Linked DNA regions of Macaca mulatta. The protein of the gene in region 4 interacts with the protein of the main gene of each other region in a pairwise test. Links are inferred from orthologs where the notes say so. Each region holds a gene or a part of one and is shown on either strand. Other genes may lie near its edges. The genes, in order: RHEB, VKORC1, TMEM203, CREB3, TMEM234, ACSF2 and FDPS.

The links.
Region 1: the proteins of CREB3 (region 4) and RHEB interact in a two-hybrid assay, tested with the Homo sapiens proteins (2 studies listed by BioGRID and IntAct). The two-hybrid records come from large-scale screens. The link is inferred for Macaca mulatta from reciprocal best matches to the Homo sapiens genes CREB3 and RHEB.
Region 2: the proteins of CREB3 (region 4) and VKORC1 interact in a two-hybrid assay, tested with the Homo sapiens proteins (2 studies listed by BioGRID and IntAct). The two-hybrid records come from large-scale screens. The link is inferred for Macaca mulatta from reciprocal best matches to the Homo sapiens genes CREB3 and VKORC1.
Region 3: the proteins of CREB3 (region 4) and TMEM203 interact in a two-hybrid assay, tested with the Homo sapiens proteins (2 studies listed by BioGRID and IntAct). The two-hybrid records come from large-scale screens. The link is inferred for Macaca mulatta from reciprocal best matches to the Homo sapiens genes CREB3 and TMEM203.
Region 5: the proteins of CREB3 (region 4) and TMEM234 interact in a two-hybrid assay, tested with the Homo sapiens proteins (2 studies listed by BioGRID and IntAct). The two-hybrid records come from large-scale screens. The link is inferred for Macaca mulatta from reciprocal best matches to the Homo sapiens genes CREB3 and TMEM234.
Region 6: the proteins of CREB3 (region 4) and ACSF2 interact in a two-hybrid assay, tested with the Homo sapiens proteins (2 studies listed by BioGRID and IntAct). The two-hybrid records come from large-scale screens. The link is inferred for Macaca mulatta from reciprocal best matches to the Homo sapiens genes CREB3 and ACSF2.
Region 7: the proteins of CREB3 (region 4) and FDPS interact in a two-hybrid assay, tested with the Homo sapiens proteins (2 studies listed by BioGRID and IntAct). The two-hybrid records come from large-scale screens. The link is inferred for Macaca mulatta from reciprocal best matches to the Homo sapiens genes CREB3 and FDPS.

What each region holds. Positions count from the first base shown.
Region 1 is NC_133408.1:190,942,373-190,946,478, reverse strand, and holds the start of RHEB (GTP-binding protein Rheb), read left to right. Parts: upstream 1-1,306; 5' UTR 1,307-1,357; coding exon 1,358-1,409; intron 1,410-4,106. UniProt on the Homo sapiens protein: Small GTPase that acts as an allosteric activator of the canonical mTORC1 complex, an evolutionarily conserved central nutrient sensor that stimulates anabolic reactions and macromolecule biosynthesis to promote cellular biomass generation and growth.
Region 2 is NC_133425.1:29,731,042-29,735,250, reverse strand, and holds the start of VKORC1 (vitamin K epoxide reductase complex subunit 1), read left to right. Parts: upstream 1-1,409; 5' UTR 1,410-1,463; coding exon 1,464-1,636; intron 1,637-2,763; coding exon 2,764-2,873; intron 2,874-3,306; coding exon 3,307-3,390; intron 3,391-4,209.
Region 3 is NC_133420.1:5,248,848-5,252,015, forward strand, and holds TMEM203 (transmembrane protein 203), read left to right. Parts: upstream 1-1,151; 5' UTR 1,152-1,360; coding exon 1,361-1,771; 3' UTR 1,772-2,668; downstream 2,669-3,168. Other genes in the region: NDOR1 (NADPH-dependent diflavin oxidoreductase 1), read right to left, coding at 472-549, 872-1,006. UniProt on the Homo sapiens protein: Involved in the regulation of cellular calcium homeotasis. Required for spermatogenesis. Acts as a regulator of STING-mediated inflammatory signaling in macrophages.
Region 4 is NC_133420.1:63,961,932-63,966,070, forward strand, and holds the start of CREB3 (cyclic AMP-responsive element-binding protein 3), read right to left. Parts: upstream 2,801-4,139; 5' UTR 2,421-2,800; coding exon 2,292-2,420; intron 2,199-2,291; coding exon 2,048-2,198; intron 1,977-2,047; coding exon 1,909-1,976; intron 1,795-1,908; coding exon 1,705-1,794; intron 74-1,704; coding exon 1-73. UniProt on the Homo sapiens protein: Endoplasmic reticulum (ER)-bound sequence-specific transcription factor that directly binds DNA and activates transcription. Plays a role in the unfolded protein response (UPR), promoting cell survival versus ER stress-induced apoptotic cell death.
Region 5 is NC_133406.1:208,667,128-208,669,578, forward strand, and holds the end of TMEM234 (transmembrane protein 234), read left to right. Parts: intron 1-802; coding exon 803-895; intron 896-1,200; coding exon 1,201-1,259; intron 1,260-1,553; exon of another isoform or gene 1,554-1,624; coding exon 1,625-1,738; coding exon of another isoform or gene 1,739-1,755; 3' UTR 1,756-1,765; exon of another isoform or gene 1,766-1,864; 3' UTR 1,865-1,951; downstream 1,952-2,451.
Region 6 is NC_133421.1:59,531,465-59,535,332, forward strand, and holds the end of ACSF2 (medium-chain acyl-CoA ligase ACSF2, mitochondrial), read right to left. Parts: intron 2,695-3,868; coding exon 2,543-2,694; intron 1,440-2,542; coding exon 1,298-1,439; intron 1,211-1,297; coding exon 1,100-1,210; intron 907-1,099; coding exon 838-906; intron 604-837; coding exon 553-603; 3' UTR 501-552; downstream 1-500. UniProt on the Homo sapiens protein: Acyl-CoA synthases catalyze the initial reaction in fatty acid metabolism, by forming a thioester with CoA. Has some preference toward medium-chain substrates. Plays a role in adipocyte differentiation.
Region 7 is NC_133406.1:111,664,803-111,668,302, reverse strand, and holds part of FDPS (farnesyl pyrophosphate synthase), read left to right. Parts: exon of another isoform or gene 1-405; intron 406-1,875; exon of another isoform or gene 1,876-3,062; coding exon 3,063-3,143; intron 3,144-3,288; coding exon 3,289-3,411; intron 3,412-3,500. UniProt on the Homo sapiens protein: Key enzyme in isoprenoid biosynthesis which catalyzes the formation of farnesyl diphosphate (FPP), a precursor for several classes of essential metabolites including sterols, dolichols, carotenoids, and ubiquinones.

The DNA.
Region 1 (4,106 bases), on a different chromosome or scaffold from region 4:
GAAGGGCCATGCCCGGCCTCTGCAGGTCCCCACTGCCAAACAGCCTCGGCAGAATAGGGGCGGGTTCCCCGGCGCGGCGGAGCCTCTGCTAACTCGGCAAGTGCCAAGCCCACCAGCAGCCACCACTCCGGGCCTGCCTGGAGGCTCGTCCCTCAACGGCACCTGCGTTCCCGGCCCGGATTCTCTTCCCGCGCCCCTCTGCACTGCACCCCTGGGAAGGCTGTGCCCACACCGCGGCCCGAGGCGTTCCTGGCACCCGGCTCCGGCCTGCCCGCCGCACCAGCCGCCCTGGCGCTGGCGGAGAACCGGCTTCCCGCCCCGGCGTTGTTCCAGGATGTGCGCCGAGCTCCGCGCGAAGCGAAGCAGACACCAGAACTGACGAGGCTCGCCCTGTTTTTAATGAAATTCCTAACACTTTGAATTAACGCAGACTCCATGCTTCCCACAGTCCTTCGGCCGTGGGTGACGCTTAGTCACCACTACATCCTCAAACCCAGACACGAACGCTAACGCAGCTCAAGGGGAATTTTCAAAAAAGCCCCGAGGGAGGAGCTAGCCCAACCACCGCCCGCCCCGGCCACGAGCCTCGCGCCCTTCACGGGCTCAGCGGGCGCGAACCCGCCAACCGCTCAGCTTATCACCAATCACCGCACCTCCCACCTATTGCCCCGCCCTGCGCTCCGTTCCGGCCAATCACCGGGGAGCCACCGTTTGTCTCTCCGCCTCTCCCGCCCGCCCCCAACCGGTTGGAAGTTTGAAGCCTTCAAACCTCGCCGGCGCCCAACCGCGCTGTAGCAGCGCGGTGTATTTTTAGCTCCTGGGTGGCCAGCCCCGCCTCCTCCGCCCCGCCTCCTTGCCTCCCCCAATGGGAGATGGAGTTTCTGACACGTCATCGCGCGGCTGTGCAGGTGCCGTCCAATCGGCGCTCGGGGAGAATGGCGTAATTAAAAAGCGGCGGAAGAAGGTGGGAGGGTCATGACGCAGCGAGTTTCAGTCGTGACTTTTCTGGGGGCATCGCGGCGTCCCCTTTTTTTGCCTTTAAAGTAAAACGTCGCCCCGACGCACCCCCGCGTATTTCGAGGGGGCGGAGGCGGCGGGCCACGGCGCGAGGAGGGGCGGTGCTGACGCCGGCCGGTCACGTGGGTGTGTTGTGGGGGGAGGGGCGCCGCCGCGCGGTCGGTTCCGGGCGGTTGGGAGCGCGCGAGCGAGCGAGCGAGCGAGCTAGAGGCAGCCGCGCCCGCCGCCGCCCCTGCTCTGTATGCCGCTCTCCCCCGGCGCGGCCGCCGCCGATCGCAGCAGCAGGAGCCGCCGCCGCCGCGGTTGATGTGGTTGGGCCGGGGCTGAGGAGGCCGCCAAGATGCCGCAGTCCAAGTCCCGGAAGATCGCGATCCTGGGCTACCGGTCTGTGGGTGAGTGGCCGGTGGTCGCGCGGCCTCCTCGCGCCGCCGGGGCCTCGCCTGGAAGCCGGGTCGCTGCCGGGCCTGCGAAGTTTGGAGCCGGCGCGGCCATGTGGCGGGGCGGGCGGGGGCCGCGCGTTTCGTAACCACCATTTTGAGCGGAGGTGGTGGCGGTCGGGGCGGCGTCCGCACCGGTCGAGGAGCTGCGGTAGCCGGGCGCCCTCCGCGGGCCGGGCGGGCAGGTGGCGGCCGGGCGGAGGGCGTGGGAGGCGCGGGGCGGGGGCCGCCGGCCGCCGAGGAGTCCGGGGCTCGTCTGGGGAAATGAGGCGGCGCCAGGGAGCCGCGCTAGAGGCTCCCGCGAGGAAGGAGTCACACCTGCCTCCCCGCCTTCGCCGCGGGCGCGCGTGACCGGGGCTGGCGGTCTCCCCCACCCCGCCCCCGATGCAAGGAAAAGAAAGTCCGTGGGATTTTAACAAAGGAAGCAGCACCTCGGCTTCATTCCATCTGTGGTGAAGTTTACCCTTGTAAAGAAAACTAGGGACTTAGAGAACGTTTGGTCTCTGGACGCAAGTTTTGTACATAGGAAACCTAGGCGAGCCCCCAAAAGAGGCCCCTCTGGAGGCCCTGGAGATGCTGCTGGCGGCCCGGGTAGGAAGGCAGAGAAAAAGGAATGTCTGATCTCTCAGTGGCCTATATTTCTTCGGGAAGGAATAAGGTCAGGTACTTGCAACCACGCTGTTGAAGTAATTCCGAAGTCTTTTTGTTTTCTTTTTCTTCCCCCAAAAGGTTGACGTACATTTGAAACGGTTCCTAGCGTCGCCTTACTGCTGAATAAGGTGGCTTAGGGTCGGGTTGGGGGGCGGACGGGGTGTCACAGAACAAGCGGTTTTCTGGCCTGTGAGAAACCGGAGCGATCGAACTTAGACACGCTTCAGGGTGAGGCTGTATTGTCTGCCGACATCCGGAAGCCTGGAGAAATTACGTTCATCTTTTCGGGCTGTTTTGAAGTAACTGTCTATAGAAGACGTGCGCCGGGCCACATTTGGGGGGATGGGGAGGTGAAAGCGAGGGTTCAAAGGCTCCGGTGATTGCGGAACGGGGTGACAGCATGTGTCGTGGGAAGCTTGTACCTGCCAGCCGCTCGCGGGATGCACTCCCCAACTGCGCTTTCCACCGCCGGTGCCAGGGTCTGTGCTCTTTGACCAAGATCAGCCACTGCATGCTTACTCATCCTTTTACTACCTCTCCGTCGAGAGCTGGAGGAAGTCAAGGGCTGAGAGAAGCTTGGCTAGAGATGCGGGGTGCCCAGAGTCGTAGGGGGAACTCTTGTGCGATGCGGTGCTGCAGCCAGGAAGTAACCACGAATCAAATGGAGGGGTTCAAAGTCACTAACTGTTCAAATATCTACATGGAACCTGGGATCCAACCTTTATTGGCAGCCTGAATCCATGCTCTTGTCTCTGTTCTCTTGATTTCCTCCTCTGCATTTTGAGGAGTTGGGAGCGCGAGGTGTCCTGGCTCTTGGGTGAGCCCTCCCTAGTCAGTCAAGTAAGTACTTATTGCCAACTATTTGAAAATAGCCCCTGAATAATCACATTATGGTCAAGTACCTCGGCTACTTGATTTCAACCCAAGAGAATGACCTAAAGATCCTGACTGATTTACCCTTTTAAAATGTTGAAATGGTAGCTCTAGTCTTTGGTAAGCAGGGCTAGTTTTATCACTTTTTGGTGGGTTTTTTTTGGTTGTTTTTTTGTTTTTTTGTGTTTTTTTTGCTAAAGAAGTTCCTTGTGTCCAGTTGAAATCCATTCTGTTTTATCTTCCCCTCTATTCAGCTTCCTCCTGAGGACGGAGATGTGACAGGACACCCCTTAGCCGTCTCTTCACAAGCATTATTTTAAAGTGCTGCTTGTTAAATACTGTGCTAACTTAGTCTTCGGTGGGTTACAGGGTCACTTTTAGTCCCTATTTTGTGTCTTCAGTATTTCATATTTCTGCAACCTACCCCACTTCTCCATACTTATTTTCAAGCGTAGTCATATTAAACGATTTTGGAGAGGTTAAGTTGCTCCCAATCTTGTATTTGATTTTTTTTTTTTTTTTTGAGACAGAGTTTGGCTCTTGCCACCCAGGCTGGAGTGCAATGGCGCGATCTTGGCTCACTGCATCCTCCACGTCCAGGGCTCAAGCGATTCTCCTGCCTCAGCCTCCAGAGTAGCTGGCACTACAGGCATGCACCACTACACCCGGCTGATTTTGTATTTTTAGTAGAGACAGGTTTCACCACATGGCCAACCCTCAGGCTGGTCTCAAACACCTGACCTCAGGTGGTCCTCCCACCTTGGCCTCCCAAAGTGCTGGGATTATAGGCGTGAACCACCACACCCAGCCCCATTTGATTTTAAAGTGTATTATGAGCCGGGATATTTTGTAGTTTGTGGGGTCTTTTGCAGGGGAAGGAGATTAGGTTTTGCCAGCAGGTTTCGTCTAGTAAGCCACCCTTTTGAGGATTACTCAGCATGCTCACTTCTGGGAGCTTGCAAATGGTGCTATACCAGAGAAATCTGAGCACATGTGTTTCTAGATTGTGGTCTTTTGTGATGCTGAGCTGTTTTCTCCTATATTCTGGGGGTAGAGCCATAGAAAAAGGCTCCACATCTTTCTTAGAATGTTCTCTTAAGTACATTAAACCAGTTTGACTAGTAGGAT
Region 2 (4,209 bases), on a different chromosome or scaffold from region 4:
GCACCTGTAGTCCAAACTACTCGAGGGGCTGAGGCAGGAGAAAAACGAACCCTGGAGGCGGAGGTTGCAGTGAGCCGAGATGGCACCTCTGCACTCCAGCCTGGGTGACAAAGTGAGACTCCGTCTCAAAATAAGTAAATTAATAAATCAATAACCACTGGGTCTAGCGTCTTGGTGACACCAGCCACTAGGTGTCAGGGCAGTGCTGGAGGCAGCAGCTAGTTTATGGCGTGGGCAGTGAGGAAGAAGTGAGGAAGTAGAGACTGGGAGTGTAGAATCTTTCCAAAAACTTGCCTGTTAATGCAGGGAGGGGAGGCTGCTGAAGGACCTCTTAGTGAAGGGAGATGTGTTGCTGTTTCTGAGATGGGAAAGAGAAACAAGTTGCAATGTAGATGGGGAGGACGGAGAGGTTGAAGGTGTAGGAGAGATGGGTCACCATCAGATGGGATGTCTGTGAAGGAAAGACCTCAGCAGGCCCACAGCTTGGAAAGGAGAGACTGACTGTTGAGTTGATCCAAGCTCAGGTGTTGTCAGGCAGGTGCCATGATAGTAGAGAAGTTAGGATACTGTCAAGGGTGTGTGTGGCCAAAGGAGTGGTTCTGTGAATGTAAGGGAAAGACCCACCAGCAAGAAGCGCTGGTGAGGCAGGACCTGGGAGGATGCGAGGCTGCAGCCCGAATGGTGCCTGAAATAGTTTCAGGGGAAATGCTTGGTTCCCGAATCGGATCGCGGTATTCACTGGATCCCCTGATCCTCTGGTCTCTAGGTCCTGGATGCTCCAGTTCTTACAACAGGACTTGGCATAGGGTAGGCCCAAATGCTGTTAGCCACATTAACGCAATTTTTTTTTTTTTTTTTTTTGAGACAGTCTCACTCTGTCGGCCAGGCTGGAGTGCAGTGGCACGATCTCGGCTCATTGCAACTTCCGTCTCCCCAGCTCAAGGAATTCTCCTGCCTCAGCCCCCAGAGTAGCTGGGATTACAGGCGTGTGCCACCATGCCCGGCTAATTTTTGTATTTTTAGTAGAGACGGGGTTTCACCATGTTGGCGAGGCTGGTCTCGAACTCCTGACCTCAGGTAATCCGCCAGCCTCGGCCTCCCAAAGTGCTGGGATTACAGGCGTGAGTCACCGCCCCCGGCCAAAACAGTTTTTAAATCTCTGGAGACGTCATTTCCCTTGACGCCTTGCAGCCGCCCCGACTACAACTCCCATCATGCCTGGCAGCCGCTGGGGCCGCGATTCCCCACGTCTCTTACCCGCTTCACCAGTCTGGGCGTTCTTAGCGGTTTTCCTAACTCTCTCGCCTGACTAGCTCCCGGGAACAGCCGTTTGGATCGCGGAGTGCGAACCCGGCCGGCCAATCGCCAAGTCAGAGGGGCAGGAGGGGCGTGGCCATTCCCCGCCCCGCCCCTGCTCCGTGGCTGGTTTTCTCTGCTGGCGCCTCGGACGGAACCTGGAGATAATGGGCAGCACCTGGGGGAACCCTGGCTGGGTGCGGCTCGCTCTTTGCTTGGCCGGCCTAGTGCTTTCGCTCTACGCGCTGCACGTGAAGGCGGCGCGCGCCCGGGACAGGGATTACCGCGCGCTCTGCGACGTGGGCACCGCCATCAGCTGTTCCCGCGTCTTCTCCTCCAGGTGTGCACGGGAGTGGGAGGCGTGGGGCCTCGGAGCGGGGCGGCCAGATTGCCAGATGATTATTCTGGAGTGTGGGATCGGTGTGCCCAGGGAACGGACAAGGGGCTGGACTGCTCGCGGGGTCGTTGCACGGGGGCTGAGCTACCCAGAGATACTGGTGTTCGAAATAAGAGTGCGAGGCAAGGGACCAGACAGTGCTGGGGACTGGGATTATTCCGGGGACTCGCATGTGAGTTGGATGCCAAGGAATAACGGTGACCGGGAAAGGCGGGGAGGCAGGATGGCGGCAGAGATTGACGATGGTCTCAAGGACGGCGCGCAGGTGAAGGGGGGTTGGCGATGGCTGCGCCCGGGAACAAGGTGGCCCGGTCTGGCTGTGCGTGATGGCCAGGCGTTAGCATAATGACGGAATACCTAGGAGGCGAGTGCGTGGCCAGGGAGCTGGAGATTCTGGGGTCCAGGGCAAAGATAATCTGCCGCCGACTCCCAGTCTCTGATGCAAAACCGAGTGAACCGTTATACCAGCCTTGCCATTTTAAGAATTACTTAAGGGTCGGGCGCGGTGGCTCACTCCTGTAATCCCAGCACTTTGGGAGGCCGAGGCGGCTGGATCACTTGAAGTCAGTTTACCAGCCTGGCCAACATGGTGAAAGCCTGTCTCTACCAAAAATAGAAAAATTATCCCTGCGCTATTGCAGGCTCCTGTAATCCCGGCTACTTGGGGGCCTAAGGCAGGAGAATCACTTGAACCCGAGAGGCGGAGGTTTCAGTGAGCCAAGATCGCGCCACTGCACTCCAGCATGGGCCACAGAGTGAGACTCTGTCTCAAAAAAAAAAAAAAAAAAAAAAAAGAATTACTTAAGGTCTAGATGAAAAGCAGGGCCTACCAAGTAGCCACGTCAGGCCTGGTCTGGGGAGAGGGGAGGATAGGGTCAGTGACATGGAATCCTGACGTGGCCAAAAGTGTCTGCTGACTGGAGGTCATCGACCCTTGGTCTAGGATAGGAGGTGGGGAACAGAGGATAACCCAGGTGGCTTCTTGGAAATCACCTTTCCGGGGTAGGGTCCAAGGCACTAGGTTGACATTCCTAACCTGGTTCCACCCCCCCACACCACCCCTCTGCCAGGTGGGGCAGGGGCTTCGGGCTGGTGGAGCATGTGCTGGGACCGGACAGCATCCTCAATCAATCCAACAGCATATTTGGTTGCATCTTCTACACACTACAGCTATTGTTAGGTGAGTGGCTCTGCCCCCTCCCTGCAGGCCCCGGCCCTCATCCCCCTTGGTCAGCTCAGCCCCACTCCATGCAATCTTGGTGATCCACAGCTGATAGCCAGCTAGCTGCTCATCACGGAGCATCCTGCAGGTGGAGAGGTGGGGAGGTAACTAACAGGAGTCTTTTAATTGGTTTAAGTACTGTTAGAGGCTAAAGGGCCCTTAAAGACATCCTAGGTCCCCAGGTTTTTTATTTGTTGTTGTTTTGAGACAGGGTCTGGCTCTGCTGCCCAAACTGAGGTCTAGGATGCCCTTAGCGTGCACTGGTGCGATCTCAGCTCATAGCAACCTCTGCCTCCCTGCCCAAGTGATCCTCCCACCTTAGCCTCCCGAGTAGCTGGAATCACAGGCGTGCACCACTATACCCAGCTAATTTTTGTGTTTTTTTTGGTAGAGACAGTGTCTCGCCATGTTGCCCAGGCTGGTCTCAAGCAGTCTGTCTGCCTCAGCCTCCCAAGGTGCTGGGGGGATTACAGGCATGAGCTACCATGCCCCACCAGCACCCCAGTTTTGTGGAAAAGATGCCGAAATTCCTTTTTAAGGAGAAGCTGAACATGAGCTATCTTTTATCTCATTTAGTGCTCCGCAGGAAAATTTGTATCTGGTCCCAGGAATTATTGAACAGATAGGGGAACCAAGGGAGTGGGAGACGATGGCGCCCCAGGCCTTGCTGATGCCATACCCTGGAGATGAGACTACCTATTACCACCCTTCCCAACAGGCCCCCACACTCCCTTTGAGTCACCCTTCCCAGCTCCAGAGAAGGCATCACCGAGGGAGGCCCAGCACCACGGTCCCTGGCTGACACATGGTTCAGACTTGGCCGATTTATTTAGGAAATTTTATTGCTCAGAACTTTCCCTCCCTGGGCAATGGCAAGTTCCTTGGAGGGAACCTGTCAAAGCCTTTTTTTTTTTTTTTTTTTTTTTTTTAAGAAATCATCTTGCTCTGTTGCCCAGGCTGAAGTGCAGTGGCACAATCATAGCTCACTGTAATCTGGAACTCCTGGCTCAAGTGATCCTCCTGAGTAGCTGGGACTAGAGTTACATGCCACTGCACCCAGCTAATTTTTATTTTATTTTTTATTTTTTGAGACATAGTCTTGCTCTGTCACCAGGCTGGAGGGCAGTCGCGTGATCTTGGCTCACTGCAACCTCTGCCACCCCGGTTCAAACAATTCTGTGTCAGCCTCCCGAGTAGCTGGGACTACGGGCGCGTGCCACCACGCCCAGCTCATTTTCGTATTTTTAGTAGAGAGGGTTTCACCCTCTTGGCCAGGATGGTCTCAGTCTCTTGA
Region 3 (3,168 bases), about 59 Mb from region 4:
TTCCCCAGCTGCAGGTGTTCGCTGGCACTGTCATTGCCCATTAGGTGCTTCTGCTACAGTATGAACTCTGCCAGGACAGAACTATGGCACTGGGTTCACAGCGGGATCCCCAGCACCAGACTGTGCCAAGAATGGAATATGTGCCTAAAAGATGGTCAGAGAATTCAGCAACGTTCCCTGAGAGTCATACAGTCTAGAAATACACAGAAGATCCAGACTAGATGCACATATAGATAGCCCTGGAAAGATAAGAAAGGTTAAAATGGATAATAAGGCTATTTGGTGGCTATGAAGCGTTTATTAGAGAGAGCAACTGGAGCCCCCAGCTCCACTCAGGGACGTCCTCTCAAATCCACCTCTGAAGATGCATGAGATAGAGGAGAGCTATTTACTGCACCTAGACTCCAGGCAATGAAAACGGGATGAGGGTCGAGGGCAGGGATCTGAGGAGCCACATCAGGCCAGCCTTACCTTCATGTTGTCAGGGGGGTCTCCTTGGCCTGTAGTTGCACAAACAAATATCACCAGGGGCTCGTTAATCAGATTCACCTCAACAAAAAGACACACACACGTAAGACCTCCGGCTGTAAGGACTGGGCGTCCTTCCCAAAACTCGACCCCCTTCTCCTTCACTCAGGCTGACAGGGCAGAGGAATTTATGTGAGCGGCCAGACCGTCTTCTCTTTCAGGTTCCAACCTCCTCCAGGTGCTAAACTGAACTCCTCTTCCCAAGCCTCCCCTTTCCCTAAATCCGCCATAAGGGAAAGACCCGCTCTCAGAGATAATGCGACGCCTTTTGGGTCGATGACCCCGAGAAGCGGGCACGCCAGGCCTGTTTGTCCCCCACGCCGAGGCCCTAGCTAGCCCTCACCACCGGGTAGGAGTCCAGGGCCTGCACCCGGCAGCCAAGCCGCCGGCGCCGGGCCTCGCGACCCAGTCTCTCCGACACATCCTGAGCCGTGCCTGTCTGGCTGCCAAAGAGCACCAGAAACTGCGGGTTCGGCATCTGGACGCGCCCGGCTCCAGGTCGGAGACTAAGAACTAGAAGGTAGATCCCGCCGGCCGGGATACAGGGACCGCTCCGCCTTCCGCCGTCGACCGGAAGTGACGCACTAGGGACGCGCCCGGTGGGGCATGGCGTCCGATCGAGGCGGGCGTCCACCGGCGGCCAGGGTTGAGTCCCGGGTCGGGGCCAGGGCATTGCCGGCGCACCAGGGCCGAGGGCTGGGGGTGGCGGGGCCGCTCTCTGCCTCTCGCTCGCAGCAGCGGCGGCAGGCGCGGGCGAGGGCCACGGGGAGAGGAGACGCAGCCCCGCGGGTGGCACGCTCGGCCGGGTCCCGGCCCGCGCTCAACGGGCGCGATGCTCTTCTCGCTCCGGGAGCTGGTGCAGTGGCTAGGCTTCGCCACCTTCGAGATCTTCGTGCACCTGCTGGCCCTGCTGGTGTTCTCTGTGCTGCTGGCACTGCGTGTGGATGGCCTGGTCCCGGGCCTCTCCTGGTGGAACGTGTTCGTGCCTTTCTTCGCCGCTGACGGGCTAAGCACCTACTTCACCACCATCGTGTCCGTGCGCCTCTTCCAGGATGGAGAGAAGCGGCTGGCGGTGCTCCGCCTTTTCTGGGTCCTCACGGTCCTGAGTCTCAAGTTCGTCTTCGAGATGCTGTTGTGCCAGAAGCTGGCGGAGCAGACTCGGGAGCTCTGGTTCGGCCTCATTACGTCCCCGGTCTTCATTCTCCTGCAGCTGCTCATGATCCGCGCCTGTCGGGTCAACTAGCCTCACCGAGGTGCCGGAGAGGGAGCGCTGGACGGCTAGAATGCTGACCTCAAGCCGAGGCCCTACTTGCGCCGCACCGGAGGAGAGGCTCTCTAGTCTAAAGGCAACTCCTGCTTGCGCCGAACTGAGTGCCCGGTTTTCCTATTTCAATCCTGCCTGAAATGGTTTCTTCAGCAGGGTTTAAAAGAGCAGCCTTCATCCTGAAAATGTATTTCTTTTTATTTAATGCTTTGAGTAGATAATCCTGAATTGAGGTCCTGAGGAGGCCCCCAGGCCAGGCAGTCCTGAACCCCTCTGACACTTGGAAGCTGAATATAAGTAAAATGTCCCGGTGGACTCTGAGTATTTCCTGTGGATCCTGGGAAAGTACTGTTGCACAGAGGCTGCAAAGCTGGACTCAGGAATGTCCTCCAACCAGCAGCGCTGACCTGAGAGCTCCCTGTGCCGTCCATCCAGACCAGACTTCGGTAGATGCCTTTGTTAGATCAAATGTAAACCAGCTTGTATCTCCCCTGTGCCACGAGAGATTGGCTTTTTATTCCAGTCTAGGCAGAGAGAGAAGAATGTTGAATAAGAGCACGATTAGGGTCCTGTCTGGTTATCTCTTGCCCACGAAAAGAGCTCTGCTGTCCAGGCACTGCTTGGTTTCCTATCCCAGCGAAGACTGCAGTTCCGTGGACCTTTTCACCACCTTGTGGCTGGCACTCTTAGCACACCTGAGACAGATTTAAGCCTCCCTGAGAGACTGAAGAGAGGAACAGGTGTCGGATACTCATAGGCACTGAGACCTACAAATGGGAAACTTGTGAGTGGCCCAGCTTTGTTGGCCTATGAACTTTGGTTTGATGCCAGTCAGGTGCCAAATGAGAACCTTTGCTGAGATGCAAATAAAGTAAGAGAATGTTTTCCTGAAATGAATAGTGGTTGCCTGTACCCCTCAAAGGTTAAATGTGATGAATATTGAGATACTCTCTGCTGCATGGTGTAACTGGTTACAGAGCTGCAGTTTCAGATGGGTTGAAACCTGTGGCTAGAGCTTAGTGGATGGTGGTGGTGGTGGGAATCACTCGTTCTGGAGAATCCCTCCTTCCTGCTCTAGGAGGCCGGTAACTCAGGCACCCGCCCCACCCTGTGTGAAGACAACAGTCTAGGCTCACGTTGAAGACCCGTTGAATAGTTTGTGACCCCAGAGCCCGTGACTTCTTGCCAGTGTGTGGTATTGTGTGGGCCTTGGCACTCTGTAGCGCGGGGATCAGCAAACAATGTCCTAAGGCCTGTTTTTGTGTGACCCTTGAGCTGAGGATGGTTTTTACACCCCTAAATAATTAAAAGCAGGCCGGGTGCGGTGGCTCACGCCTGTAATCCCAGCACTTTGGGAGGCTGAGGAGGGCGGATCA
Region 4 (4,139 bases):
TCCTGCGGCTCTCTTGAGCAGATCTTTTATTTCGAATCTTCCTCCGCACACGTTTCAGAATTTGTTCCTCCATCTGAAAGGAAACAAGGAAAGGGGTATCATTAGAGGGACTCTAGAACAAGAAGTTGAAAGGCAACTGAGATCCATCTCTTTCCAATACAGAAATCCCTTCTACAGCTTCCCTGACCAATAGGCATTCACATTCTTTCTGAATGCCTCCACGGACCATGTGTTAACCCTAACAAGCCAGACCATTTTAAACTATTAAAAAAAAAAATTGGTCAGGCAATATTCAAGTGACATGGCTCATGCCTGTAATCCCAACACTTTGGGGAGCTAAGGCAGGAGGACCGCTTGAGCCCAGGAGTTTGAGACCAGCCTGAGCAACACAGTGAGACCTTGTCTCTACTAAAAATAAATTAGCCGGGTGTGGTGGCACATGCCTGTGGTCCCTGCTCCTCAGGAGGCTGAGGAAGGACAATCGCTTGAGCCTGAGAGGTCAAAGCTGTAGTGAGCCATGATCTCACCACTATTCTCCAACCTGGGCAGTAAAGCAAGAATCTGTCTTCAAACAAAAACTTCCTTATCCTGAACCAACAGCTGTCTCCTTATAATTTCTATACGTTGGACTTACCTAGTATCTCTGGGGCCAAATAGAATGAACCCTGTTTAGCTATTTTCAGGCATTTGACATTTCCTCAGAGAAAAAAAGTTCAAGAAAAAAACAGCTTAGACAAAAATTTTAACTCATCTTCTTAGGATAGACTGCATCTTCTTAGTATCTGTCAAAGATGTGCTCTAGCCAGTATAAAGGAAAGCAAGATAGTGACTTGTGGAGACAATAACTCTTGCTACAGTTTCCAAATCCCATTAACTTTCCTAGTAGCCACATCGCACTGCTGACTCATCTTGTACTTTGAAGGAATTAAAATTCTTTACTTTTGGAGGCCAAGGTGGGTAGATCACTTGAGCACAGGCGTTCAAGACCAGCCTGGCAACAAGGCAAAACCCCATCTCTACTAAAAACACCAAAAAAAAAATTTGCCAGGCAGGGTGGTGTGCACCTGTAGTCTCAGCTACTCAGGAGGCTGAGGTGGGAGAATCACCTAAGCCCAGAAATTCAAGGCTGCAGTGTGCCATGATCACATCACTGCACTCCAGCCTGTGCAACAGAACAAGACCTTGTCAAAAAAAAAAAAAAATTCCTGGAACTTTTCTATTAATGAGCACTGATTTCATCATAGTATCCCAGTACTCTGCTTGTGAAGTTGCCACTGATTGCTTAAAACTGGAAACTAAGGATTTTGCATTTATTCATGTACTGCTTAGTCCAATCGTGTTGAACTCTCTAAACAGTTCTACCATTCAGCAAGAGGTGGATTACTATGAAGCCAATGAAGTGTCAAGGCCCTTCACTTACACAGTCCTTTCCAAGGCCCAATACTAATGTTGCACTGATAATTTTGAGGGTTTTTTTTGTTTGTTTTTTAACAGAACACCAAAATTTGTGTAAGCCCAACGAAAATGAGGATCTGCCTTGCATCTAGCATATTGGGTACCTGCCTCAACTTCCTATTAGCAATAAATCTGCTAAGTTTCTCACCTCAATCCTTTTTTAAAGTTATTGATATAAAGTTAACAGAATTGGCCTACTTGAGACTTTTAATCCCTTTTCAGCCTTTGCTCAACTAACGAGAGTCTTACCTTAGTGAGAGGAAGTGTCTCAGGCAGAATAAGCCCCTCCTTCTCCAATAGACTCTTCTCCTCATCTGTCAGTACCAGCCTAACAATATCCTAGGGTAACCAGAAAGTGGGCGGCAGTTGCATGGGGATGTCACAGAGGAATGGGGAATCCTGCCCCCACCTGAGGAATGTGAGAGTAATCATCCTGAAAATCAAGTCAAGTACCTGCTCTGCCAGCTCCTCCATATGCTGTGGAGTCATCTGGGTCCCCTCTTTTCTACAGCTCTCACTCTCTGCAAAAGGGAACGTATGAATAGCCAGGCCCATGAACCCTGTCCTCCCCCCAAACTTATTTCAGACTCACCTAGATCCATAGAGACAGGTTCTCGTGGGAGGGAGTAGGTGTGGTCATGGTGGACAAGGCAGGGGTTGGAGTTGCTGAGAACGTTCAACGACGACGCTGGGGGACTCAGCAGGGAGCTCAGCAAATCATCTACCTCCCAGTCGCTCGGTACCTGCGCAGGGTTCCAGTGAACAGGCCTTGACCTATCACCATCCCCTGACCTCATGGACATCCCACGCTTTCCCCAGTCAGAACCCCAACGCACCTCAGAAAGCGGCAGCTCCCAGTCCAGTGGGGCCCTCACGGACTCATCGGGCGCCGTCCTCAAATCTCCACTTTCCTCTAGCAGGAAGCCCAGTAGGTCTTGGTCACCAGCGTCCAATTCCAGCTCCATTTGGGACAACTACGGAAAGGGTGGGCTACCGGGCCCCAACGTCCGAAGCCCAGACACGAGCCCCAGGCCAGCTGTAGGCCTCGGGCACCTATCCACTGTCCCTCTACGGCCGGGCTTCCCGGCCGGGGGCTTTCCGTAGCCCTCTCCGGACCCGCCTCCCAGGCTCAATTCTCCTCAGCCTCCAACGCAGCGAAAGTGACGCACCCCACCCCGTGGCACTGTGGGACTTGGAGTTCCCTCCAACTGAGAAGAGGCCTGGGTGCCGCGCCACGTCCCAGGGGCTATGCAAATGTAGGGGACGGCCCTGCTGCCGCCTCGCACCCCGAGGGCGGGGGTTCCGGGGCTCCGGCTCCGCCTTCTCCCCCAAGCTAGAAAAAGGAAGAGTTCTGGCCTGAAAGGGAACTCGGGCGTCGTCTTGGCGTTCTCTCCGGATTGCGCCGCACCCTCGCTTCCTGCCAGGGAGGGGCTGCCGGCCTTTGGCGGCCCCCGAGCATCGAGAACGCGGCCAGAGCAGCTTCCTGCCTGCCCCCCGCGACCATAGAGCGCTGCCCCAGGGCGCCGCCCGCGGGTGGGGGACGTTCCCAGGACGGAAGTGGCCGAGAGAGTGTCGAAGGGAGGGCGAGGCCGGAGCCCGAGGGCGACCCGAGAAGCGGCAGGGCAGCGGGCCGGCGGGCCGGCAGGCGGGGCGCAGAGCCGGGCAGCGCAGGTAGGCCAGACCGGGCCGGGCGGGGGCCTTAGGGTGGGGCCGCGGAGCCTGGCCCCGGGGGCGGGCGGGGCCCTGCCTCTCCTGCGTGTCCGGTTCGGGTCCTGTTAGTTGGAGAGGTCAGCGTCCAGCGCATCTCAACTTGGGCTCATCGTGAAGTAGGCCGTCTTAGGGGAGACAGGCCTCTCCTGGGGGCAGTCCTCTGCCTGGGATAGGCTTTGGGGAGCGTGAGGAGTCGGGTAGCAGCGGGGCGCAGGACGGGGACGGGCTTTGGTGTTAGCTGATAGCGGCCATGTGGGTAGGAAAGCTTTGGGTGAGTTGGGGATTAGGTGGGGTCCGTTTAGGAATCAAGGGTCGCTATAGGAGTTAAAAGCTGGGGTTAAAACTTAAGAGTTAGTAGTGTGAGTCAGGTCCGTTTTAGGTAGGTAAGGTTTAGATTAAGGTCATTATTTTGTTTGCTGGGATGGCCATCATACGTCATAATTTGAGTTCAGGGTCGGGTTAAGGGTCAACAACAGGAATCAGGTTAGAGCCTGTTTGAGGGATTAAAGAATGTTGACATGGTCGGTATTAAGGATAAACAGTGAAAGCGTGAGTTAGGAATCAAGTTACAAATGAACTTTAGGCTTAGGGGTCAACATTTAGGGTTAACATCAGGCGATTTGGTGCTAAAGGTAAAACTTAGATCAGTATCAGGGATCAGGGATTGGATATGAGTCTCTGCTGGGAAAGGGATGAATGTCCAAGCCGGTAGTGGGAATCAGGAAACAAATTAGAGGTGGGGTTAATGTTAGGAATTTGGGGCAACTTTAGGGGTTGTAATTGAGGCTAGCATAGTTGGCCTTGAGCAGATGAAATTTAAGAGGTTGGCAGTAGGTAAATGCCCTTCTTTTGTAGGGAAGTCCTTTATTCCTGTGTAGTTACAGGGGCTTCTTTTCACCCAGAGAGATAACAAACTAATTTCAGGCTAGTGTTCTGGCTTATTGCAGGCATCTGGGATTCCAGCATCTTTATTC
Region 5 (2,451 bases), on a different chromosome or scaffold from region 4:
GAGCCACCGCGCCCGGCCAACTCCATTACTCTTTTTCAAGTTTGCTTATTGGCAATCAGCCCCTTGGAACTTCAGAATTAAGGAACAGATCCTAGGCTATGATGCCCTCTACCCACACCATTGGTCCAGCCGAATGTCCTGAACAGGCCCTGGCTTCTTCCTTCTGACGCTTTTTATTTTTAACTCCATAAGGCCTGAGCTTGGGCTGAAACAGAAACAAAATGTGCTTCACCTGATGTTCTGCTTTGTCTGTATCCACAGCTCAGTAACAGCGCAGGTTTTGGAGTCAGGCAAGCCTTAGTTCAAATCCTCAACTTGCCTTAGTTTATGTGACTTCTTTGAGCCTTTGTTTCCTTTATGCAAAATGGTGATAATCCCCTTCTTGCAGTGTTGTGAAAATTGAGATATGTACACAAAGCACCCAGGCCATGGTATTACAATAGTGGCTGTGCTTGGTGTTACTTGACTCTCTACTGCATCCTTTGGGATTTGGGTGCCTGCCTGTCTGTGCAGATGTCCTTGAGATCTCACAAGTTCTCTCTGAGTGCAAAGACCTCATTCTCATTATCAAACCAGGCTGGTCCCAGACCTCAGAGTTCAGGTCTTCATGCTGGAATCCTGGGAAGCACTGAACGTGGAGTCAGGAGATGTGGGTTTGAGTCCTGAGATTTGCTGTGACTTCAGCTGGAAGATGGGGTTATGATACCTTTTTTAAAGGTATGAAACGATGATAATGGAAGTGTTTTGTGCCTAGAAAGGCATTTGTTGCATCTCAGGCATTCTTTCCATTCTGACCACCCAGATCTGACCCTAGCTGTGCCCATCTGTAACTCTCTGGCCATAATCTTCACACTGATTGTTGGCAAGGCCCTTGGAGAAGATATTGGTGGAAAACGTAAGTCAGGCTACTGCGAGTGCAGGACTCAGCTCTTTGGACATCGACATACCTGTGTTAGTTCCTTCCCAGAACCCATCTCCCCAGAGTGGGTGAGGGCACGGCCTTTTCCCATCCTGCCCTTTCCTCTGCAGCTGTTCTGCTTCCTTGTGGCCTTCAGAGTTCCCTTGCCCTGGACAGTTTGGGGACAGAGGCTGGGGCGGGATTCAGGACCAGACCCCATCTGAGCCCTTCCTCCAGCCCTGTACCAGCTCCTACTGGCCTGGCTAAGCTCAGACCCCCTTGATTTCTGCCTATTATCCCAGGAGCAGTTGCTGGCATGGTGCTCACTGTGATAGGAATTTCACTCTGCATCACAAGCTCAGTGAGTAAGACCCAGGGGCAGCCGTCTACCCTTTGAGTGGGCTGAACCCACCTCCAGCTCTGCTGCCTCCAGGAAGCACCTGGGCCATGAAGTGCTGGCAGTGAGTGGATGGACCTAGCACTTCCCCTCTCTGGCTTCAGCTTCCTCCTCTCTTACGGGGATAACAGCTACCTCATGGATCACAATAAGAGAACAAGAGTGAAAGGGTTTTGTAACCTTCAAGTGCTGTTCAGCTGCTGGGATTTAGCACAGGAGACTCTACGCTCACCTTCAGCAACCTTTCTGCCCCAGCAGCTCTCTTCCTGCTGACATCTCAGGCCCCCAGCCCAGCCACCATTACTGTGGCCTGATCTGGACTATCACAGTGGCAGGTTCCATGGACTGCAGAACGCCAGCTGCATGGAAAGGGCCAGCTGCAGACTTTGAGCCAGAAATGCAAACGGGAGGCCTCCAGGGCTCAGTCAGAGCGCCTTGGCTGAATGAGGAGTGGAACTGAGGGGAAGAAGGTACATCGGAGTGGCAGATGCAGATGAGCTGTCTATTAGCCTTGCCTGCCTCACCCATGAGGTGGGCAGAAATTCTCACTGCCAGCCCCTCTTAAACAGGTAGACAGCTGTGAGCCCCAGCCCCACCTGACTCCAGCGCCCAGCACACCTGGCGAGTAGTAGCTGTCAATAAATCTGGTAAACAGAGGTTAGTAAGTATTCTTTTATTGTGACAAACCCGCTCCCCCGTTTGTAGCCTGTCCCCCAGGCTCAGTCAGCTACTCCTTTCTGTGGCTAGAGAATCCCATAAGGAAATAGCCCCCAAGCCAGGGCTGCTCTGCTCAGAGGAAGGGAAGGCTGGGCTGTGGGTTTAGGAACAGGAGAACTGGGAGGGCTGAGGAGGCCGCAGTGTACCCTGTGAGCCCAGGGGAGGTGCTGGCTCCTGAGGAACAAGCTGCTGGAGGCTGAGGACAAAAGGTGGCCAGAGTGGTGGTCCCCAGTTCCCCTCTGGAGCTGCTGGCTCTCAAGATGGCAGAGCTGGGGCTGAGGCTGAGATAGCAGCTCCAGCCCCAGGCTGGTTTTCCAGGGACAGGGCCTCTTCCGCTATCTGTGCTGCCCTCTGGAGGAGGTGGAAGGCCACACAGAATGGAGCCGTGAGTATGGCCAGCCTCTAGCTCTCAGCCATGAGGTCCCCGACCCCAAGGAAG
Region 6 (3,868 bases), on a different chromosome or scaffold from region 4:
CATGCCTGTAATCCCAGCACTTTGGGAGGCTGAGGCAGGCAGATTGCTTGAGGTCAGGAGTTTGAGGACCAGCCTGGCCAACATGGTGAAACCTCGCCTCTACTAAAAATACAAAAATTAGTGGGGGTAGTGGTGGGTACCTGTAATCCGAGCTACGTGGGAGGGTGAGACAGGAGAATCACTTGAATCTGGGAGGCAGAGGTTGCGTGAGCTGAGATTGCACCTCTACACTCCTGCCTGGGTGACTCCGTCTCAAAAAACAACAACAAAAATGGGTTGGTATCTCAAAGGGATACCAAGGGTGAGGGTTAAATTAAGTAGATAATCCACATCAAGGTGCTCTGCACTCTCAATGACAAGGAATAGGAGGTCTGAAAGTGCTAGTTTCCCTCAGTGTCTTCCCTTCTCCATCCCATAGGAGCTGCCAAGAGAGCCCACCAGCAAGAGGCCAAAGAAAACAGAAGCTCTTTATGCCAAATCACAAGGACAGACAAGGGGAGTACGGAGGATGGACAGGAGGAGGGCCTGGGCAGACCCTTCCTCCCTCTTTATTCACAGATTTAGATGTCGTTCCATCTGCTCTCGAAGTTTGAATTTCTGGATCTAGAGGAAAGAAAAAGGAGTTAGGGTGACCAACTGTCTTGGTATGCCCAAGAATAAGGGGTTTCTCAGGCTTTTAGTGCCAAAACAGGGAAAGTCCCCAGGCAAACCAGGATTAGGTGACTTGGTCACCCTACTGCCAGCCTCTCCACACCCATTGCTGAAGCAAACAGAGGTGGGGCCCCATGGGACCCCAGAGCCCAGGCTGCCCTCCCTAGTCTCCTTCACCTTACACACCTTTCCTGAAGTGGTGAGGGGGTAGTTTGTGACGAACACGATGTACCTCGGAATCTTGAAGTGAGAGATCTGCAGACCAGAGGGAGGGAGGTAAGGCGTGAGGCTGGGCAAGCTCACAGGGGTATGGGAAGGGGACCGGGGCTGGCTTGGCCGGGAGTCAGCTTCGTCGAGGGCAGAGCAGCCCCCACCCCAGGCTGGTTGGCAGAGGAGTGGGCGAACAAAGAACCGAGCAGCATCAGCTTGGTTGGGCGGAGGCTCCCACCTTCCCTTTGCAGAAAGCTTTCATCTCCTCCGCCGTGGTCTCCTCCCCGTCCTTCAGCCGAATGCAGGCACAAATCTCTTCCCCCATCCGATCGTCCTTCACTCCCACGACCTTCCAGGGCCAGGGAAAAGTATCAGACATCACCTGGTTCATGTGTGTTTCCTGTTTCTGGGGGCTCACCTGAGCCGGGTGCCTCACCTGCACTTCCTGCACCTTCGGGTGCGTGTGAAAGAAGTCCTCGAGCTCTGCGGGGTAGATGTTCTCACCACCCCGGATGATCATATCCTTAGAGCGGCCCACGATCTTGCAGAAGCCCTGTTCGTTCATTGTGGCGATATCTCTGTAAGGAAAGCCCAGGGGTGACCTGTCACCTCTGCCTTGTTCACTCACTTGCTTGCTCACTCATGAAACATTTATTGACCACCTACTGTGTGTCTTCCACTGCTCTAGACTCTGGGAGACATAGCAGGAACAAGACACAGTTTCTGGAATTAATAGTCTAGTAAGGGGAAGGGAGGCAGACAAATACAAACCAATACCTATAACATATTCTCTCTCTCTTTCTCTTTCTCTTTCTCTCTCTCAACATATCTATACATATGCTTTTCACAGCTGGCTTCTTTCCGGGTCTCAACTCAAATGTCTCCTGACATCTTCTCTGTCCACTCAACCTAAGGGAAGCTCCCCTCCCCACCACAGCCACTCTTTCTCCTATAACCCTATTTTATTTTCTTGGTGTTTTTTGTTTGTTTGTTTGTTTTTGAGATGGAGTCTTGCTCTGTCGTGCAGGCTGGAGTGCAGTGGCACGTTCTCAGTTCACTGCAACCTCCACCTCCCAGGTTAAAGCGATTCTCCTGCATCAGCCTCCTGAGTAGCTGGGACTACAGGCACGCGCCACCATGCCTGGCTAATTTTTGTATTTTTAGTATAGGTGGGGTTTCGCTGTGTTGGCCAGGCTAGTCTCGAATTTCTGACCTGATGTGATCCACCCGCCTCAGCCTCCCAAAGTGCTGGGATTACAGGTGTGAGCCACTGTGCCTAGCCTATTTTCTTGGTGTTATTTATCGATGTCAGGCATCATCTGTCTTCCTCCAAAAAAAGGATCCTTCTCATCTTACTTTCCTCTGGACCTCCAGCGGTGAGAACAGTGCTAGCACATAAGGAATTCTAATAAGAATTTGCTGAGCTAACAAATGAGTATGAGTGACTGAATCTGGACTCAGCTTTTGCAGCTGCTGGTGTAGGATGATGACCCAGTTGATTTCTTCTGTGCTATGTATGATCATCCCCACCATATACATTTTGGAAATTAAGTCTCCAGCATGTGAGGGGTCATCTTGATACCCACATCCTCACGGTGCCAGGTTAATGTTCCCGGCTCAGCCTCAAGACCTCCAGCCTCCCCTCAGCAGCCAGAGCCTCCACCCCGCCCTGCCTTCTCACCCTGTCCGATACCACTTGTCCTGATCCACTGCTTCCCCCGTCTTCTGAGGCTCGCCCCAGTAGCCCAGCATGACGCAGTACCCTCGGATGCACAGCTCCCCGGGCGTGTTCAGCTCTGCCAGCATCCCCGCCTCCATGTTCATGATCCGGGCCTGGGACAGGACAGCCTCAGGTTGGGGCTTCCTGTCCTCTTGCTTCAGCATAGGTGGTCCTCGGAAATGGAGAGAGCTTTGCCTGCTCTCAACCCCCCAACTCAAGCACCTGGAATGAGGCCCCCTGGCTCTGCCTATCCCCATCCAGAGAAGGGAGACAAAGGCTAGAGTCGACCCAAAGCCAGTCAGAGACCTGAGCTGGGCATGAAAGAAGAGCTGAGGCCAAAGCTGGGAGTGCTGAGGAAACAGAGCAGGCAGGCAGCTGCTGCAAAGAAAGAGGTCTGTGGACTGCAGAGCCAGCTGAAGAATTATAAACTGTGGAGAGGAGAAGGGAGTCTCCTCTTACTTCCCATTAAACAGCAAATAAGCCAAAGAGGGTAAGGCACGGCAACACCATGTGAATAGGAGAGGCAGAGTCTGAAAGTCCGGTAGAGCAAAGAGCCATGGCCACTGTGCCAAGGAAAGCTGAGCCTCCATGTGCCTCAGTGTCTGCATCTGTGAAACGGGGTAAGTGATGTCTGCCCCTGTTTCCCTTCCAGGTGAGCATCCTAGTGAGAATGGCAGTGCAGCTGTAGGACACACGGGAGGGGGCTCACATCCCTACTCAAACCCTGGGTACAGGGCTGCTCTGGCGGGAGGGCAGGGCATATTCACACCAGGATAGTGGTCAGCACCAGCAGAAGCAGCTACTTGTGCACAGGGGCAGCAATCCCCCAGGGGTGGGAGCAGAAGGGTGCAGGGGAAATCAGGAGCCAGCTGGCACAGCCCCAGTGTTAGAGCAGGAAAGGAGGCATGGCTGGGGTTTAAGATTGAGATGCACTCTGGGGCAACCTTTGAGGGGCAAAGGGACCCCCCTAAAGGGATAGGCTGCTTGAGAAATGAAGTGTTTATGCCAAGCAAGAAGAGAAACTCTGCTAAAGCGAGAGGCGGGGACCACTGGAGGAAAAGAAGCTATGTAGGAAAACTCTCTGTGCTCTGGCTTCTCTTTGAGGCTACCCTGGCTGCCCTGAAACAGACAGTGGGCTTGGCAAAAACACACCTCAGACAGGAAGGGAGGCTGCGGAGAAGTTCAGCTGGCAGCGGCTCACAGCCACCGTTCCAGCTTTCCCCCTTTCATGCTTAGCCCACAGAGAACGCTCCAGGCCAGGCCTAGCACACCGCTGCTGCTGGGGAG
Region 7 (3,500 bases), on a different chromosome or scaffold from region 4:
TCCCAAAGTGCTGGGATTACAAGTGCGAGCCACCGCACCCGGCGTTTTTAAAAATTTTTAATTTTTTTTTTTTTATTCAGAGTCTCACTTTGTTACCCAGGCTGGAGTGCAGTGGCATGATCTTGGCTCACTGGAATCTCTGCCTCCGGAGCAAAAGCCACCCTCCTACCACCTCAACATCCCAAGTAGCTGAGACTACAGGAGCGAGCCTCTACCTGGCTAATTTTTTTTTTTTTTTTTTTTTTTTTTTTAATAGAGACTAGGTTTCGCCATGTTGCTGAGGCTGGTCTTGAACTTGTGGCATCAAGTGATCCGCCCATCTCGGCCTCCTAAAGTGTTGGGATTACAGGTGTGAGCCACCGCGCCTGGTCTAAATTTTTTTTTTTTTTTTTTTTTTGAGACGGAGTCTCGCTCTGTCGCCCAGGCTGGAGTGCAGTGGCCGGATCTCAGCTCACTGCAAGCTCTGCCTCCTGGGTTTACGCCATTCTGCTGCCTCAGCCTCCCGAGTAGCTGGGACCACAGACGCCTGCCACCTTGCCCGGCTAGTTTTTTATATTTTTTTTTAGTAGAGACAGGGTTTCACCATGTTAGCCAGGATGGTCTTGATCTCCTGACCTTGTGATCCGCCCGTCTCGGCCTCCCAAAGTGCTGGGATTACAGGCTTAAGCCACCGCACCCGGCCCTAAATTTTTTTTTTAGAGACAGAGTCTCACTCTGTTGCCCAGGTTGGAGTGCAGTGCTACAGTCATGGCGTACTGTAGCCATGACCTCCTGGGCTGAAGCCATCCTTCCACCTCAGCCTCTCAAGTAGCTGAGACTGCAGGCGCCCGCCACCATGCCCGGCTTTTTTAATAGTTTTTTTTGTAGAGATGGAGTCTCACTTTGTTGGCCAGGGTAGTCTTGAACTCCTGGGCTCAAGTGATCTGCCTGCCTCGGCCTCCCAAAGTACTGGGATAACGGGTGTGAGCCACTGTGCCTGGCCTGGGTTTTTTTTTTTTAATTTTCCCTAATAAATAGAAAGTGCTGGTGGGGTTAAGAATCAGTGCTAGGAGGCAGAGGAAATGTGGGGAGGCCATGGAATTAATTCTCTTGGAGACCATCATGGTTGAGTGGTGGTGGCCAAAATGAGATTGTCCTTGCAGTCACCCTTGGGAGAGGCCGTGAATGGGTGGCTTCAGGGAAACCATGCTACTCCAAATAAACACAGAGTCAATTAAACATGTGCCTTTGATGTGGAAAGCTCAGGACCTCCACACTACTCTTCTGGGGTTAGGTCAGAGGTAAAGGTGCAGATGGATACCTCCTTCCCTGAGGACTCTGCCTATGACAATAGCAGTGGTTGTTGCAACGGTCCTTTCCCCACGGCCCATGCTGGGTTCTGGCAGGCGGTGTTGCATGCTTCCTTTGCAATGTGGATCGACTACAGCACACAGGATTAGGATGGGATGAAGTCTTAAAAACCATGTCTTCTAGGCCAAGTGTAGTGGCTCATGCCTGTAATCCCAGCACTTTGGGAGGCTGAGGTAGGTGGATCACCTGAGGTCGGGAGTTTGAGACCAGCCTGACCAACATAGAGGAACCCCATCTCTACTAAAAATACAAAATTAGACCAGGCACGGTGGCTCATGCCTGTGATCCCAGCACTTTGGGAGGCAGATCACTTGAGGTCAGGAGTTCAAGACCAACCTGCCCAACGTGGCAAAACCCCATCTCTACTGAATGAAAATACAAAAATTAGCCAGGCTAGCAGTTGGTGGTGGCGGGCGCCTGTAGTCCCAGTACTTGGGAGGCTGAGGCAGGAAAATCACTTGAATCTGGGAGGAGGAGCTTGCAGTGAGCCCACGTGGCGCCACTGCACTCCAGCCTGGGCGACAGAGTGAGACTCTATCTCAAAAAAAAGAAAAGAAAAGAAAAGCTATTTAAGGAACCAAAACATATAGTATGACTGACTGCAGGAAGTATCACAGGGAATGTTAGAGTGTTTTATTCTTGAATTTCTTTGTCAGACAAGTGTTTAGGAGACTCTCACTCCAGGCCTAGTGCTGTGCTAGGCTCTGCAAATGCTAAGAGGGAGAAGTCACTGTCCCTGCTTCCAAGGAGTTCATGGTCTAGTGGGAAACCCGATACGTTCAGGTACCTTCAGATGGGCACTCAGAAGAGTAAGCCGTTAGTTAAAATTAATGTTAAAAAATGTTTAAAGATGTCTGAGACTCATAGGTCAAAGTCAGATTTCAGTTCCACCTGATTAACCTGTACTGCTAAGGAGCTCCTTTAGGTAAGGCTGTGTTCCTAGTCACTGGGGTGTTCAAACACAGTGCTGGGGGCAATGTGGGAATAGCCTTCTTTTATTTAGGAAGTAATGGAAAGTCAATCACACAAATAAATCTTACTTTAAGCATTCATTGAGGTGTTTGGCAAGAATAGAGTACGGTATATGAAGGTGTTTCCTAATCTCCCTGATACCAGGCCTAATCTAGGGCTCATTAGAGATGTCAAAGATCTGTTCTAGTTTCTTACCTAAAACAAGAGTGTTTTAGTTCCATTTTATAGGCGAGGAGTCTTAGCCAAACAGGTTATGTCACTTTCCAAGTCTCCATAGCATAGAAGCCTTCTGCCTCCCCACCCTGACTTTCCCAGCTCATAGGGACTATCAAAAGCAGCAGCTGTGGCCGGGTGTGGTGCCTCATGCCTGTAATCCCAGTACTTTGGGAGGCTGAGGCAGGAGGATCATTTGAACCCAGGAGTTCAAAACCAGCCTGAGCAACATAGTAGGACCCTGTCTCTACAAAAAATAAATTGGAAAAAAAAAAAAAAAGTCAGGCATGTGGTGTGTGCCTGTGGTCTCAGGTACTCAGGAAGCTGAAGTGGGAGGATCACTTGAGCCTGGGAGGTAGAGGCTACAGTGAGTCGTGATTGCACCACTGCACTGGATAATGGTGATACTCTGTCCCCCACCAAAAAAAAAAGCAAAACTATATACAGATGTAGATATAAAGTAGCAGCTCTGTTGCTGATAGAAGGAACAGTAATGAGCCCTGCAGGTCTTATTCCACTCTTCCTAGCTGCAAGCTTTCTTCCTGGTGACAGATGACATCATGGATTCATCCCTCACCCGCCGTGGACAGATCTGCTGGTATCAGAAGGTAATGGTGGGCAGGAAAGTAGCAGTGGGTATGGGGACAGGCCACAGGGAGGTGGTATGTGCGGCCTGGTTGAGGTGTTGGGATGATGGCTCTTAGTATGAACCGAGACTAGAGATTGATTGCTTGTTTTTCTCTGTCATGATAGCCGGGTGTGGGTTTGGATGCCATCAATGATGCTATCCTCCTGGAAGCATGTATCTACCGCCTGCTGAAGCTCTATTGCCGGGAGCAGCCCTATTACCTGAACCTGATCGAGCTCTTCCTGCAGGTATTGCTGCAGACAGGGCCCGATGCCCAGAGGGTGCCCATGGTAGCCTTGGCCTTTATAGGACATGCTCATCTGGCTGGTTTCAGGGT